2 linked regions of the Oryctolagus cuniculus genome follow. The protein of the gene in region 2 interacts with the protein of the main gene of each other region in a pairwise test. Links are inferred from orthologs where the notes say so. Each region holds a gene or a part of one and is shown on either strand. Other genes may lie near its edges.

Region 1 (7,421 bases), on a different chromosome or scaffold from region 2:
GTGGCAGGAGCCAGTAGCTCCCCCTTTTGTTCCTAAGATACTTACTTTTGTGTACATTGAATGACTTATCCTACCGTAGGTTTAACATAATATGTCATATGAATGGCTATAAGTTTGCTCTGGCAACATTGCTCACTTTTGAGTTAGCCCTTGAATAAATAGGAATCCTCCATATTTAGACATTAGTGATTACAGTGTTAATCTTTGTATGTCATTAAGAGGTAAAGGAGTCTTGGTAAAGATGTTTTAAAGTAATAATGATTTTTTTTTAATTGTGTCAGAGGTTGCAATCAAAAGTTTTAAAATTAGTTGATATATCCTATGGCGGTGAAAATGGATTCAACCAAGCTATTGAGTTATCTACTGAGGTCCTCTCCAACGTGAAATTCATTCAAGAGAAGAAATTAATAGGTATCAATGAAATGCAGCTACTTATTATGTGTTTTTGTGTATTAAATGTGTATGGATGATATGTATGAAAGAAACACTGGAAAGGTAAAAAAGAAAAAAGATGAAGTATTTTGTTAAATCTTCTGCTTCTGTGGAATCATTATTTTTAATATTCAGTCATTAGGTCTAATAAGTGTGCTTAATTATATTCATATCCACAAGGGAAAACAATATACGTTCACCTTTCAGTATCTGAGGGGGGCTGGTGCTAGACCTTCTCCTTCTCTACCCTGATAACAAAATCTACAGATGCTCAAACCTCTTCTATAAAATGGCATAGTTTTTGTATGTGGTTGTTATGCTGTATTGTTTACGGAATAATGACAGGATTAAAAATCTGTACATGTTTGTTACATATTCAGGCCCAGCTATAAAGTACTTTTCAATGACAGCTTAACTGGTTCCCCCCACACACACATCTTTTTGATCTTGGGTTGGTTGAATCTGCTGATTAGAAATCCAGTTGTATGCTTTATTGACCTGTCACTAATACCACAGGACGATACTTTGATGAAATCAGTCAAGACACGGGCAAGTACTGTTTTGGAGTTGAAGATACGCTAAAAGCTTTGGAAATGGGAGCCGTAGAAATTCTAATAGTCTATGAAAATTTGGATATAATGAGATACGTTCTTCATTGCCAAGGCACAGAAGGTATGAGAATTAGAAAATAGGTTGCTGTTTGATACTGATCTGTGCATTCAAGAAGCCTGAGGGTGGAGATTGGAAAGGATGGCTGATCTCATGAGCAGTCAGAAGTCAGATCTACTCTTCTTTCTCCACTGCTTTGCTCATAGCACATACCTGTGTAAATTTTTCAGCTTGAACTGCTTAATGCCTGATTATATTTGCTGAAGAGCAGTCTCTGTGTTTTTGTTGTTCTTACTTGCTAAAGAGAGCTCTCATCTGTTCGTTCATTCCCCAAATGCCCAAATGGGTTGGTGATGGGGACCTAAGTATTTGAGCCATCACTTGCTGTCTATCAGGATGCACATTGTCAGGAAATACAAACCCAGAGCAGAGCCAAAACTGGAACTCAAGCAACCATTGGGCCAGACCACTCACCTGAGGGTCAGTTTTAATGTCTTTGATTTTTTTTTTTTTTTTTAATGGTGGGAGCAATTTACCTGCTTGACACTCAGTGAATGCTGGTGGAAAGGAAGTTTATAGAATGAATTTAGAAGCCTTTTCCTTATCCAACTGGCCTCATTTTGTAGGACTTAACCCCATTAGTATTTGACAACCAGTTTAACACATTGTTTTCCTCTTAATACTACAGAGGAGAAAATTCTTTACCTAACTCCAGAACAAGAGAAGGATAAATCTCATTTCACAGACAAAGAGGTATGTGGTTGTTTTCTTGGTTTGGTATACACGCAAGGAAACATGATTGTGTGTTAGAGCTCGGGCAGTTACAATGTCAGCCTTGGGAAATCAAACCACATTCCGCTTGAGGAGTTCAGTGGGGATTTTTTTTCTTAAAGTAGTTAAGCACTAAGGAGAACTTTCCCCTATCCTTGAAATAATAGAGAGGAAGATTTTATTTGAGTATGCCTCTCGCGCTCTGAAACCTGTGCTGCTTTGTTTCACTTACTTTATTAGCTGCTCCACCACAACAGCATCTTTGGGCTTGGTCTAAATGTGTCATGACATTTAATTTAAAGTGTCACCTTACCACAAGATGACTTTTAAGTGGTAGCTTCCTCAAACTCTGAGTTGTTGGACTTTGTTCTTTAAGAGCCGCTCCCAACAGCAGTTCTGGCACATCTCTTCTGGTCTGCTGAATGGCTGCCACAGAGACGCTGCAGCAGCCTGACTTCCAGAGTCAGCAGGAGTCATAAAAGTCAAAACCACTCAGTGTCTGTTGACATCTCATGACTGAGGCTTGAGCCCAAGGAGAAGGAGTATTTAAAATAATCCCACAGTTTCTCTGCAGTCTGCATTATGTTATTAGAAACCAGAATTCACTTTGTTTTATAGGAGTGCACGTGCGCACACACATGATAATGAGTGACAGCACCGAATGATGGTAGGCAAGAGAAGTGAGGGGGTGAGGCCTGCTATGTCCTAACCACTTGGTTTTTGCTGTCTTCTGGTGAATCCCTGTAGACAGGACAGGAACATGAGCTGATTGAGAGCATGCCCCTGTTGGAATGGTTTGCTAACAACTATAAAAAATTTGGAGCTACATTGGAAATTGTCACAGATAAGTCACAAGAAGGATCCCAGTTTGTGAAAGGATTTGGTGGAATTGGAGGTGAGTAGCGTATCAACAAAGTGAACTTAAAAACAGGGTCTCAGGCCAAGGCCTATGCTGACTAGCCTAAAATAAATTACTTCAGATTAGCTGTGCTCATTGGCTACTGAGGCAGGTGGTTGGGACAGCAGATGGTTACACAATCTTTGATTTGGACCAGTTTTTATCATCTCTTTGCTTTTCTATAATTGTGTAAGAGAACTGGACTTTATATTTGTGGTTTCTTTCTCCAGGTATCTTGCGGTACCGAGTAGATTTCCAGGGAATGGAATATCAAGGAGGAGACGATGAATTTTTTGACCTTGATGACTACTAGGTAGTCGACATGGGTCCGGCAAAACGTGCCTCGCCCTCCAGCATCCAACCCAAGGAGCATACCCGTGGTGGAATCCAAACAGATCCCTGCCTTACAATTGGAACATTTCCAGAACTTAATCCATGAGCATTGGATATTGAAAAGAAAACCGAAACAAAACCAGGCCCAACCCTACACTTTGGTTTGTCATGGTGTCAGCGCAGCAGCCTACAACTAAGTTCCTAAATGCCACTTTGGACTAATTTAAAAAAGAATCCCAATTTTTACTTTTACTCGATGGTGAAATTGGTTGCTCTTGTATTTTATGAAAAAATGATTTTTTTAACCTTCATACATAGAAGCAAAAATACTTTAACTGCTGTAAACCTTCAAAAGTTAATAGAAGTGAGATCATACTGGTTTGTTTCTTATTTTGATTGGAGAAAAATTAAATTGCTGCATTTCGCAGTGACCCATTTACATGGCATTCTCAGCTTAGACTGCATAAGAAGAAATATATGTGGTGAAATGTTGGAACCATTTCTCTCTTGGTCTCTGTTTAATGTTGAAAGGGTGAGCTAATAGGAGGCAATGTCATCTTCACTCCCTCACACTCTCCCTTCCCCTACAGACTGTCAATTTCAAGGATGCAAACTGCATTGCAAGGTCAAACTGACTCAAGAAGCATCTGGGCCAGTGCACTGTTTACTTCCATGTGTTTGGCAGCCACGTTTGGGCACAGCATTTGGGAGCCCTTTGTATCAGTTGCTTTGACAAAGGTCCCCTAATCCTAGCCTATTAGAAACCAGTTGGAGATGGATATGATGGGGCTTCTGTGCTGTTGCTGGGATTGGGAGAAATAAAACATGCAATTTCAGTGGAAGCAAAGAAATTTAAAGTTTATTTGCTTGGGTCTATCCTTGGTAAAAGGGAGGTGGTTGTGTTTTCCTTATGTTGGATGGCATGAGATTATGTGAATGTTTTGATTTTTTTTAAATGAACTGCAAGATTTTTCACAGGAACGACAGACAAAACATGTTTGACTGTGCATGTAATTATAAGCCCCTGACCTCCTGGTGGGGTTGGAGCATCTGTTTCAAATGTGGGACTTTACAAGCACCTCTCACAGGAGAAATTATGGGAGTGGGGCGGGTAGGGCAGGGGCGGGGAAGGGATGGGACACAGCTTCTGGCACCATGGACTTTACCATGTTGAATCCAAAAATTGACCTGAAAACCTGAAGCATGTGCTTCACAGCTGGGCCGTCCTTAGGATGTGAACCCAGCTGATAAGCAAGGTCATGGCGTGCTCGAGGTGACAGTGAACAAAATGAATAGGATGTGCCCAGTAGCAGCAATGGAAAAAAGTGTACCAAATGGGCTTTGAAGGACCAAAGGTTTTAAAAGTCAATTGGTATCACTCTCACACCTGGTTAGGGTCATGGGGTGCATTTGGTTTTTCAAATTGGGTACTTTTAACACTATAGTGCCTGACTGCTGTTCTTCACTGACTTGACTCAGTCACTTGTAGCTTTACTGGTCTGAACCAGCTCTTTGTTCCCAGGTTACAGACCTGCCTATCGTTCCAATAATCCTGTTTCACTTGAATGAAGGGAGTATGTCTTAAATGTAAAGCTTGTGGTTCTCACACTGTACTCAGAGGTCCAAATGACTGTCTGTCGATGCGTAACCTGTTGTCTCAACCCCCAGCGAGAAGAGTCAACTCTTTGCTGTTCACCAGCGTGGGAGGCTTCACCGGCTTTTGCTTTGGGCTCTGCTGTTTGTTTGCAGAATACCCAAGAGCAAGCAAACATGCTCTCTTCACAGCAGTACCTTAGGGTTTTGCCATTGTAAATGGGTCTAATGTGATATGACAAGACCAGAGAAATTGGATGTAAATTTACATTTTTAAATATGCTTGTTGTTTCACATGATACATTTAGGGTATGCAGCTCCTTTTGTAGTTTTTATTTTTACTATTTAAGTTTGGAAATGATGCCAAATTTTGTATTTCTTTAATCAATGTGTTCTCTTCAGTGATATATATTGCATTATATATTGATGTGTGTATCAATATATACTGATATGTATTACACTTACACTTACAAACACAGAAATAAGAGGGGGTGAAAACCGTAGCCTTTGCATTCTCTATAGCCTCTGCAGAGAGATCCTAAGCAGCAAAATCTTGGTGTTGTGATGTACAGAAATGGAGAAGAGTATTAAACCATATTTAAGAATACACTTTGTGTGCTTGAGATTTTTTAGGACTGTTCCTAGAAAAGGTCTGAGGTTCCTAGAAAAGTATGAGTTCTCCGAGGCATTTGTCAGATCAGTGGTGGCTAGTAACTTCCCAGCCTTAGATCTGAGTTTTCCATACACTGCCCATGGAAGGGCATATGCAAATGACATCTGAGGTCATGATCTCAAGATTACCCTAGAGAAGGGAGCTTCAACTTGATTGTATCCCACTTCCCTCCTTTCCATTTGTCAAAGGGGAACTATTTCCCCCACTTTCAAGTATGTTGTCTCATAACTAAACATCCCCTGCAGGGAGGTGTTATGCCCCATTCTATAGATCAACTAAAAGAGCTTTAAGTCACAGCCTGCCAGTGGTGATACCAAAATTTCACCCCAGGCTTAACTGCAAAATTGATGCTCTTTCTGCATCTGTTTGTCTTTGCGCCCTATAATAGAGTGGTCCAGATGGAAGAGCCGAGAAACTAGGCTAGGCCCTTTCCCTCCCACTCTGCCTCAGCACTGCATACCTCATATTGGGTAGCAGAGTAATCTGAGAGCAAGTCGGGTTGGCCCGAGGAGTGGGGGCCCTTGGTTCAGGTTAGGAGCAGAAGAGGGATTGCTGTGTTAATTTTCCCGAAGTGTGAGGTGTGCTAGACCTTATTTGGTAGTTTCTGAAGCCTTCACTAAAGAGCCAAGGTGGTATGTGGCTTGTGCTCTCCAGACCAGAGGAAGAGGTTTCCATTAAAGGCCCCCTGCTAGCAGTTTCTCTGTGACTTCGTGCTCTCAGCACACGTTCACTGCTTTCTCACCTGATCTAGATGATGGCCCTGCTGAAATCCAGTTGTCCTTTGCAAAGGGCAAGCATGCCTGGTCAGGCGGAGCTGGCGTTTTTCTTCATCATGCATCCCTAGGTGCTATTCTTGAAGTTGGGATTTCTGGAAGGAAGCACAGTGGTGCCGGGTGTGGGTTACGGTGCTTGCCTGTTTGGGCCTGCTGCACTTGCCATCTTTTGTTCTCTGGCTCTGGTTCCCATGCTGTGGCGCTCCCAGACAGGCACAGTGGATTCAGGGCTAAGTGCCAAGGCAGAATTTGAGCCTCATGCCAGCTTCTCCCTTGTTGCCAATTTGAGTGTGTGCCAGCTGGGACTCCCCCTGCCAAGTCCCACCCTGATGGGACTGCACTTTAGGGGACAGGAACTGACAAGGCAGAGGGTGTGGGAGCATCGCAGTAACACCAGAGAGAAGGGGCATGGTTGCTCATTTTGTAGCAGTTTGGGTGGGTGCCACAAATTGCTAACAACAGAGCAACTAGAGATAACATGCACAAACAAGTCACTTCCTCCAGGATTTTCTAAATCAAGTCTCAGTCCTGTCTCAGTGAACTCTGCTTCAGGTAGACACCTCTAGGAATATCCCTACAAGGCATGGTGTGCTCACCTAAGAGCCCAGGACAAGGGGTCTTATCAAGAGATCTGGTTCTTTGTTCTGTCTCTACTATTAGCTAGGCTGTGACATCAGGTAAGTCCTTTCCTGACTCTTGATTTCCCTGTCAGTGTAAGGCATGTCTTGAATCTAAAGGGCTTTTCTATCAGGATATCCAAGTCAGGAGCAGGAGCTGTGAAGTAGGCCTGGGGTGGAAAATCTTGGCTTTCTCTTGGACACTGGTTGATTACCCCATGTCTCTGTGCAGCAGTTTTCCTCCCTGTAACAATGCCTGCTTCGTGAATATTGGGGTAACAAGGTTTTAATGGAGTAAGAGAAATGAACGACGTAGTATATAGTGCCTGGCACTTACCTACCACAGGAATTGGGAGCTGCTCTGATAAGGATACTTCCACTGCCAAGTCCATCCTCTGGAGGTGGCCAGGGTGAGTTTGTACTGGTGACCACAAGGTGGTGCTAGAGTGAGGGATATGGGCTGTGGAAACTTAATCCCTAAGGAGGAGCTGCTTTCTGGTAAGTGATAAACAGATGCCTAGGACAATTTGCTTTGCCCTTAAATTTTGGAGAAATAGAGTGGGCAGTCTACCAAAAGAAGTGAGGATGAATGAAAGGAGAGCCCAGGAGTCTCACTCCAGCTCAGCCCTGTTTTTATAGCACTCAGCAATCTGGCCTTTGAGCTAGACATCTGTAAAATAATTTAGTCACTGACATTTATTGAACAGTTACAGTTATGTAAA
Region 2 (8,081 bases):
AGCCAGTGCACTGCACCGATCCAAAGCCAGGAGCCAGGTGCTTCTCCTGGTCTCCCATGGAGTGCAGGGCCCAAGCACCTGGGCCATCCTCCACTGCACTCCCTGGACACAGCAGAGAGCTGGCCTGGAAGAGGGGCAACCGGGACAGAATCCGGCACCTCGACCGGGACTAGAACCCGGTGTGCCAGCGCCACAAGGTGGAGGATTAGCCTAGTGAGCAGCGGCGCCAGCCTGGTCCCATGACTTTTTAGCGGTGACCTTGGGAAAACTTCTGAAACGCCCTCAGGCCTTATTTGTTCTCCTCTGTGAAATGGGGATTGCATGAGTAGCCAAGTCAGGGCCCAGACAAATCAGGGCACCTGTTTTTATGAACACTTTTGTTTCTGGTAACCCAGGCTCACGCAGTCCCAAGGAAGAAACACAGTACAGTTGAATGGGAGGCACCTGCTTACTGGCCCACCCTGTGGACGCCAAGAACCCCAGAGCTAATTCTCCTTGGGGTTATCTGGCCAACCCCGCGTGTAACGGAGTGCAGGAGAGAAAACAAGACCAGGGTAGAGGCCCCCCAACCAGTCCCAGGCGCCAGAAGAAGACGTAGAGAATGTCTGGGATGCATTCTCCAAGGCCGGGGACTCCCTCAGACCTGGGGCCAGGGACACAGCCCTGCTTGCGCAGCCACGCGCCACACTTCCTCCCAGGACGGCTGGGCTGAGTCAGTGAGCCACAGCGGGGCAGTCACGCAGACCATGCGCTGAGCACCTCACCCCAAGTGCTTAGGAAGAGAAGTGCTGGCCGGGAGGGCACAGCACTGGGACCCAGCAGGTTAACGCAGGCGTCCCAGACAAGCAGGTCCCATCTGGCTCCCTGCAAATGCGCCTGGGAAAGCAGCAGGGGATGGGCCAAGTGTTGGGCCCCTGTACCCACGTGGGAGACCCGGATGGAGCTCCTGGTTCCTGGCTTTGGCCTGGTCCAGCCCTGGCCGTTGGGGCCATTTGGGGAGTGAAGCAGTGGACAAAAGATCACTCTCCTCTCTCTCTCTCTCTTCTCTCTGTAACTCTCCATTTCAAGTAAATAATGTAAAATTTTTAAGTGTTTGAGATTTGGATTCTTTTGTGGGTTTTGGGATATCTGCGTGTACACAGCAAGGAAACTTAGGGATGGGACCCGCGTGTGAACACCAAATTCGCTTATACAGGTGTTCTTCCAAAAGTTTGGGGGGGGGGCTGGGTTTAAAAGATAAGCTTATTTTGGTGCAAAAATATTTTGAAATCGGGGCCGGTGCCGTGGCTCACTTGGTTAATCCTCTGCCTGCGGCGCCAGCATCCCATATGGGTGCCGGGTTGTAGTCCTGGTTGCCCCTCTTCCAGTCCAGCTCTCTGCTGTGGCCTGGGAGGGCAATGGAGGATGGCCCAAGTGCTTGGGCCCTGCACTTGGCTCCTGGCTTCGGATCGGCGCAGCGCTCCTGGCGCATAGTGACCATTTGGGGGTGAACCAACGGAAGGAAGACCTTTCTCTCTGTCTCTCTCTCTCACTAACTCTACCTGTCAAATAAAAAAAAAATATTTTGAAATCCATGCCCGGTTTTTCCCTAACACGTATCCCTGTGACGTTCTGGGAGACTCCTGGGTACACACAGGCCCTGAAGGTGACTTCATGCATGGTTTTTAGCGGAACTTCCCACTGGTGGCATCGCGTCACTGCTCGGAAAAGTTTCGGATTCTGGAGTGTTTTGAATCTGGAAAGTCAGATCATGGACATTCCGGCTGCGCCTGGCATCCAAGAGATGCAACCTCAGAACTAGGGCTTAGGACAGTGCCTTTTGGAAAAAAAAATAATAATAACAAAACCCTTGAGTTATTTTCTCTTTGACAACTTCCTCCACGGAGAAACAAAAACGAAACCAAACCCTGCACGATAACAAGGTTGTGGGCACTAAAGAGAACAAGGACCAGGGTCAGGGCAGCCAGCAGCCTGTCTTCGCTGTCCTGGAAGGAACTGCTGACCAGCGCTTGGCCGTGGTCACGGTCACTGCCTTCTGCCCCTACCTTTGACCCCAGGGAAACCAGGGTCACTGTCCTGGTGGTCAGATGTGTGGCCAGGGCCCTCGATCCTCCCCGGCTCCCCCTTGGCGTCTCACGGGGATCACGCCCTGGGGCGCGCCCCTCCGTGCCAAGCCCTCCCGCCTCCCGGCTCACCTCCCCGAAGTGCATGTAGATGTACTCGCGGGCGCGCTGGTGCAGCTCGGCGCAGCCGATCTGCTCGGCGAAGTTGGCGATGCCGATGGCGTTGCTGGGGTCCAGCTGCTGCACCAGGAAGTCGCTGCAGGCGCGGACGACGCTGTCGATCTGGTACATGACGGCACCGTTCATGACGTGCAGCACGCACTTCTCGCCCATGGAGATGGACGCCGTGTAGGCGAACTCAATGAGCCGCTCCATGACCTGGGGGTGGATGCCCTCGATGGACACCACCTCCATGCCCTGCTCCCGCAGCCCGTTGGTGAACATGGCCTTGAAGACCGGGCTGGACGAGGCCAGCACCACCTTGTGGGCCATGAACTGGGCGGCCGGCGTGTCCTCGTACTTGACCTGCAGCGTGACGTCACACAGCTGCTGGCTGAGCCGCAGCTCATTCATGATCCCGAAGGCCTGCTTGGTGTGGTCCTCCAGCGTGTAGCTGAAGGTGCGGTTGCCATGCTGGGAGGGCGTCACCTCGGCCTTGCACTCGGTGGAGGCGAACATCATGGCGTCCCCCGCCCCCTCGGGGCGCTGTGACTGCTGGGGCAGGAATCGGCTGCAGGCCTCCGCCCCGCTAGGCTCGGCTTCCGGCTGCATGAGGTTCCAAGTGACAAGGGATCACGCCGCCACGGACACTCAGGGGCCTGGAGGAGGGAGAGCACAGGGCTGGGGGCAGGGCAGGGGTCAGGCCAGCACCTGCCAGGCCCTCTTTCGTAAGACAGAGCCATTCCCAAAGCAAACCTGGTGAGGTGGGGTCCGGTGGAGCTCCCCACCTTCTCCTGGCCGTGCCCACCCAGGGGTCCACCCAGATCCTGCCCCCACCCCCAAAACCACACAGGACCCCTCAACAGCTGGCAGGATAGTCAGCTCTTGTCCACCCACTTCTCTCCAGCTCACTCCATCCAGCCATCCAGCTACCTCCTCCCTTCCCCAGTCATGTCAAGTTCATTCTTTCGCTCAGCCCTGCAACATCTATTGAGCGCCTGCTGTGTCCCAGGCACTGTGGTGTCCTGGCCCACACCCCTCTGGGAAGGTGAGGTTGGCGCTGGGGCGCAGGGAGCAGCAAGGTCCGGTCAGGAGCTGAGAGACTCACAGAGGCTGAGGGCCAGGGCTTGAGTCACGTTTTGAAATCCGCGGCACCTGCAAGGCGCTCCCAAGCTCTGGGGCTCAGCCCAACGTCGCCTCGTTCTCGCCCCCCCCCCAAACTCCACCGCGGAGCTTCAAGGGGGCAGGGAGCCCCCTGCAGGCCAGCGCTGGGGCCACCCTCTCCTGTGTGTCCCCGCGTCCCGCCCGCGGCCTGGCACTGCGCAGGAGCCAGTGGCTGGCCGGCTGCCCACGCCACGGTGCCTGCCAGAGCCGCCCTCCTCCACCCTGCCCGGCGCGCCGCTCGGCCCCCTCTCCCCATGCGAGGCCCCGGGCTGGCCTCTGGATCTTTGGCCAATCGGTCAACGGTGCCCCTGGGCACCAAGCACTTCCCCCCCGCCGCGAAGCGACAAGTGGGGGACTGCGCATGCCCCGCCTGAGCCGCCACCAAGGCCTTGGAGAAGCGAGGAAGTGACCCCGCCGCGGCCTCTTGGCAGCCAAGGCCGCAGCGCGCACCCAGCCGTCGCCAACGCCCCGGGATCCCCGGGCTTTCGTCTGCGTGCGCTCCCCCCCTGCGTCTCACTCCCGGCTTCCGTGCCTCTCCGGCCGCCCCGGCAGTGGCGCCGTCCAACAAAACGATCGGACCCCGGCCGCGCCCTCCCGGGGCCTCCGGGAACTCGGAGGCGGCCCCAGGGCCCCGCGCTCCCATTCCCGCGGCCCCCGGCCATGGTCGCCGGGGCGCCCGAGGCCCGCGGCGCCCGCAGCCTGGGCACAGGCCGCCTCACTCACCCCGCCATGGTCGCGCTGCGGCTCCGCCTCCGCCGCCGGAGCCCGGGCGCCTCCATCGCTGCGCGCCGGGGGGAGGCGCGGAGCGCGCGTAGGTCACCATGACTAAGCAGAGCGCGGCGCCGGCCATGTCAGAATAAAAGTCCGCCACCCCCCCACCCCACGCTCGGTGCGCCGCGGCTCCTGGCCCCGGGCGGCGTGGACAGGCCCCAGGCCGCGCCCCCAACCCCCGCCCGCGGTCGCCGGGTTGCGCAGCCCCGGCGCAGCAGCGACCACAGCGCCAGCCACGGCGGGGCGGGGGATCGCGGCTCCGTTCGGCCGCGTGGGGCGTCGGAGCCCCGAGTTCGAGGCCCCGTTCCGCGCCCCGGGATTCGCCGCCACCCCTGCCGGGGTTCACTCACCTCCGTCCCACGGGGTGGGGAGGCACGGGGCACGATGGTGCCACCCGCGCGCCACGCTTCCGGGAAGCCCGAGGCGGGGTGGTGGGTGGGGAGCCGCGGCTCTGCGCGGGGTGGCTTCGGCCCTAACTTTGCTACTGGGGACCCGAGGGCGCCCCCGCCGCCTATGGGGGGGCCTCGGCTCCGGGGCGGCGTGGCCAGCGGGGTCGCAGACGTCGGGTGGGGGGTGGCCTCCGGACTCCCGGGAAGGAGGCGGGGAGAAGGCGCGGAGGGCGCGGCGGGGAAGGAGCTGCGATTCCCCGCCTCTTTCCCCGCAGGTGCCTTCGCGAGGGACCCGGCGTCCCGCAAGGGTGCAAGGCCGGCGGGGCGGGCAGGTCTCGCACCCCTCTCGCACCGTCCCTTCCATCTGGGCAGGTTTCGTCCCTGGGGCTGCTGTGCGCGACACCTGTTCTTCTTATCCACACAGTGCATGCCCGCTGGAGCCACCTGCCTAGCTGGGTTCCTGTTGTCTTTATTTTTCAGTTATGCATGGAACCCACCTGCGGGGATTCGAACCCCCGACCCGCCTGCTGCTAACTCTGCGCCCACAGAACCTTAGTTTCTTCCACGTTCCGTGATGGCGAGGACAAAAGCGCTATTGCTAATTTTTCTCGGCACGGTTGCTCTTGATGACATGAAGTTAACTTTTCAACAGACGCATTTCAAGTTTGAAAAGTGGACAGGCCGAGGAGATGTTTGTCTAAGAACAGGGTTGCTGGAGTCTCCGACGTGAAATCTGGGGGCTTTTGATGTTCGGGCTCTGGGTCTGGGGTTGAACCGGGCTGGGGTGGAGCGCTCCCCACACTGGGCTGTGTGAAGCTGCAGTTCCGGGAAGCTCCCGAGGGGGGCGCTCCAGCCGTGACTGTAACCCACAGCCTCTGACATCTCTCCAAACCAAACCTGCAGGCCCCGTGGGCCAGCCGTGCTGCCTGTAGAGATGTACCCAAGAGACATTCACAAGCGTGCAAAAAAGTGTTATGTGCACAGTCTTACTGCAATATGAGGTCTGTTGTGGCAAAGAATTGTAGCAACCTGCGTGATGCTCCGTGGGCTTGGTACGAAGTGGCAGGGGCTGGTGTTGGGGCACGTGGAAGTAAGCGCCATCTGGCACATCGGCAACCCATATCAGAGTGCCTGCGCTTCCAACCCACCTTCCTGCGACCAGTGTGGGAAGGCTGCAGGCGTGGCCCAAGGACTGGAGCCCCTGCCACCCACGGGAGAGACAAGGATGGAGTTCCTGACTCCTGGCTTCAGCCTGGCCCAGCGTGGATGTTGCGTCTGGAGAGTGACCCACATTAAGATGCCCGTGTCCACACTGCTGCACGTGGCTCCCCCTCCTCTTCCTCGTCCTCCTCCTCTTCTTCTTAAGATTTATTTATTTATTTGACGGCTGGTGCCGCGGCTCACTAGGCTAATCCTCCGCCTTGCGGCGCCGGCACACGGGGTTCTAGTCCCGGTCGGGGCGCCGGATTCTGTCCCGGTTGCTCCTCTTCCAGGCCAGCTCTCTGCTGTGGCCCGGGAGTGCAGTGGAGGATGGCCCAAGTGCTTGGGCCCTGTACCCCATGGGAGACCAGGAGAAGCACCTGGCTCCTGGCTTCAGATCAGCACAGCGCCGGCCGCAGCAGCCATTGGAGGGTGAACCAACGGCAAAGGAAGACCTTTCTCTCTGTCTCTCTCTCTCTCTCTCACTGTCCACTCTGCCTGTCAAAAAAAAAAAAAAAAAAAAAAAGATTGAAAAGATTGATTTATTTATTTGAAAGCCAGAGTAACAGAGAGACAGAAGTAGAGATCTTTCATCTGCTGGTTCATTCCCCAGATGGCGCCAACGGCCAGGGTCGAGCCAGGTCAAAGCCAGGAGCTTCATCCAGGTCTCCCATGTGGGTGGCAGGGGCCCAAGTACCTGGGCTGTCATCTGCTGCCTCCCAGGCCATCAGCAGGGAGCTGGAGTGGAAGTGGAGCAGCTGGGACTTGAACCGGTGCCACAGGGGATGCCAGCGTTGGCTCTGCCCCCTACCCCACAACGCCGGCCCCGTGGCTCCATCTTTGACCCCAGCTTCCTGCCAGTGTGGACCTTGGGAGACAGGAACTGAGTTCCTCCCGGCTTCCAGCTTCGGCATGGCCGGGTCCCAGCCGTTGTGGGCACTTGGGGAGTGAACCAGAGCATGGACGGTCTCTCTCCCTCTCTCTCCCTCTCTCTCTCTCTCCCTCTCTCTCCCATCCTCTCTCTCTCCCATCCTCTCTCTGCCTCTCAAACAAACAGATAAACATTTTAAAATACACAAAGTGGCATCGCGACAGACACCAGAGAGCTCGCTCCGCCTCGTGAGGGCGCAGTAGGAAGGCAGACGCCAGCCAGCCAAGCAGAGGGCCCTGACCGGAACACAGCCATGCCGGCACCCTGATCCGGGCCCATCCGGCTCCCAGATCCGAGAGGAATACATCTCTGTGGTCAAGCCACCCAGGTATGACATCTGTCTTGGCAAACCAAGCCGACCAGGGCGGGAACACAGTGCAGACGTGTGGCTGGGGGACAGTCCCCCGAGAGACGCTGAAGAGGAGTGAGCAAAGCGGAGGGCGCGGGTGAAGAAGACAGCAGGTGCATTTACATCTCGGCAGATTCAGCCACAGAACAGTTCTGGAAGTTTCTCTGGGAACCCCAACACTGATGTCCATTCAAAAGGGGAACTGGGTGCTTTTTAATTGTATGTTTAGATTTATTTTTATTTATTGGAAAGGCAGAGTGACAGATGGAGAGACAGAGAGAAAGAGAGATCTTCCACCTGTTGGTTCATTCTCCCAGTGCCCACAACAGCCGTGACTGGGCCAGGCCAAAACGAGGAGCCTGGAACTCCATCCGGGTCTCCCACATGAGTGGCAGGTGGCCAAGCACTTGGGCCGTCCTCTGCTGCTTCCCCAGGCACATTAGCAGGGGGCTGGAACAACCAGGACTTGAGCCAGCGCTCTGATAGGAGATGCTGGCTTTGCAGGCTCTGGAGTGGAGAGAGAGAGGTCTTCCATCCACTGGTTCACTCCCCGGATGGCTGCAACAGCCAGAGCTGGGCCAGGCGGAAGCCAGGAACCAGGGGCTCCATCCAAGGCTCCCACATGGGTGGCTGGCAGGGACCCAAGTATCGGGGCCCTCACCTGCTGCCCCCCAGGGTGTGGGTTCCCGGGAAGCTGCCATCAGAGGCAGCACAGTATTCAAACCCAGGCCGTGGGCAGCTATGTCACGCGGGGGTCCCACGTGTTGTCTTAACACCCGCCCCTCTGTGCGCTTTTTGTTTTTCATGAAAAAAAAAATCTAAACATCTCCCACCACCAAATAACCACACCACTGACTGGGGTGGCCTCGGGGGTCTCCCGGGAAGATTTGAGAACCCTTGATGCGGGCAGGAGTGCCAGGCAAAGGAGGGGATGTGGGCCAGTCCTGAGAGCGACCTGGGATCGCGGTCCCAGGCTGACAGCGTGGGTGTTCCGGAAATCAGGTCAGTGCCCGCTGAGTGTGGCCGCCAAGGGCAGTTCCAGTCCCCCAGGCGGC

The links.
Region 1: the proteins of KEAP1 (region 2) and ETF1 interact in binary tests that used the Homo sapiens proteins (3 or more experiments, as listed by UniProt). The two-hybrid records come from large-scale screens. The link is inferred for Oryctolagus cuniculus from reciprocal best matches to the Homo sapiens genes KEAP1 and ETF1.

What each region holds. Positions count from the first base shown.
Region 1 is NC_091437.1:26,283,118-26,290,538, reverse strand, and holds the end of ETF1 (eukaryotic peptide chain release factor subunit 1), read left to right. Parts: intron 1-281; coding exon 282-411; intron 412-948; coding exon 949-1,104; intron 1,105-1,729; coding exon 1,730-1,794; intron 1,795-2,559; coding exon 2,560-2,707; intron 2,708-2,940; coding exon 2,941-3,023; 3' UTR 3,024-3,885; downstream 3,886-7,421. UniProt on the Homo sapiens protein: Component of the eRF1-eRF3-GTP ternary complex, a ternary complex that mediates translation termination in response to the termination codons. The eRF1-eRF3-GTP complex binds to a stop codon in the ribosomal A-site.
Region 2 is NC_091447.1:66,948,813-66,956,893, reverse strand, and holds the start of KEAP1 (kelch-like ECH-associated protein 1), read right to left. Parts: upstream 4,749-8,081; 5' UTR 4,508-4,748; intron 4,330-4,507; exon of another isoform or gene 4,110-4,329; intron 3,857-4,109; exon of another isoform or gene 3,331-3,856; intron 2,904-3,330; exon of another isoform or gene 2,882-2,903; 5' UTR 2,835-2,881; coding exon 2,196-2,834; intron 1-2,195. UniProt on the Homo sapiens protein: Substrate-specific adapter of a BCR (BTB-CUL3-RBX1) E3 ubiquitin ligase complex that regulates the response to oxidative stress by targeting NFE2L2/NRF2 for ubiquitination.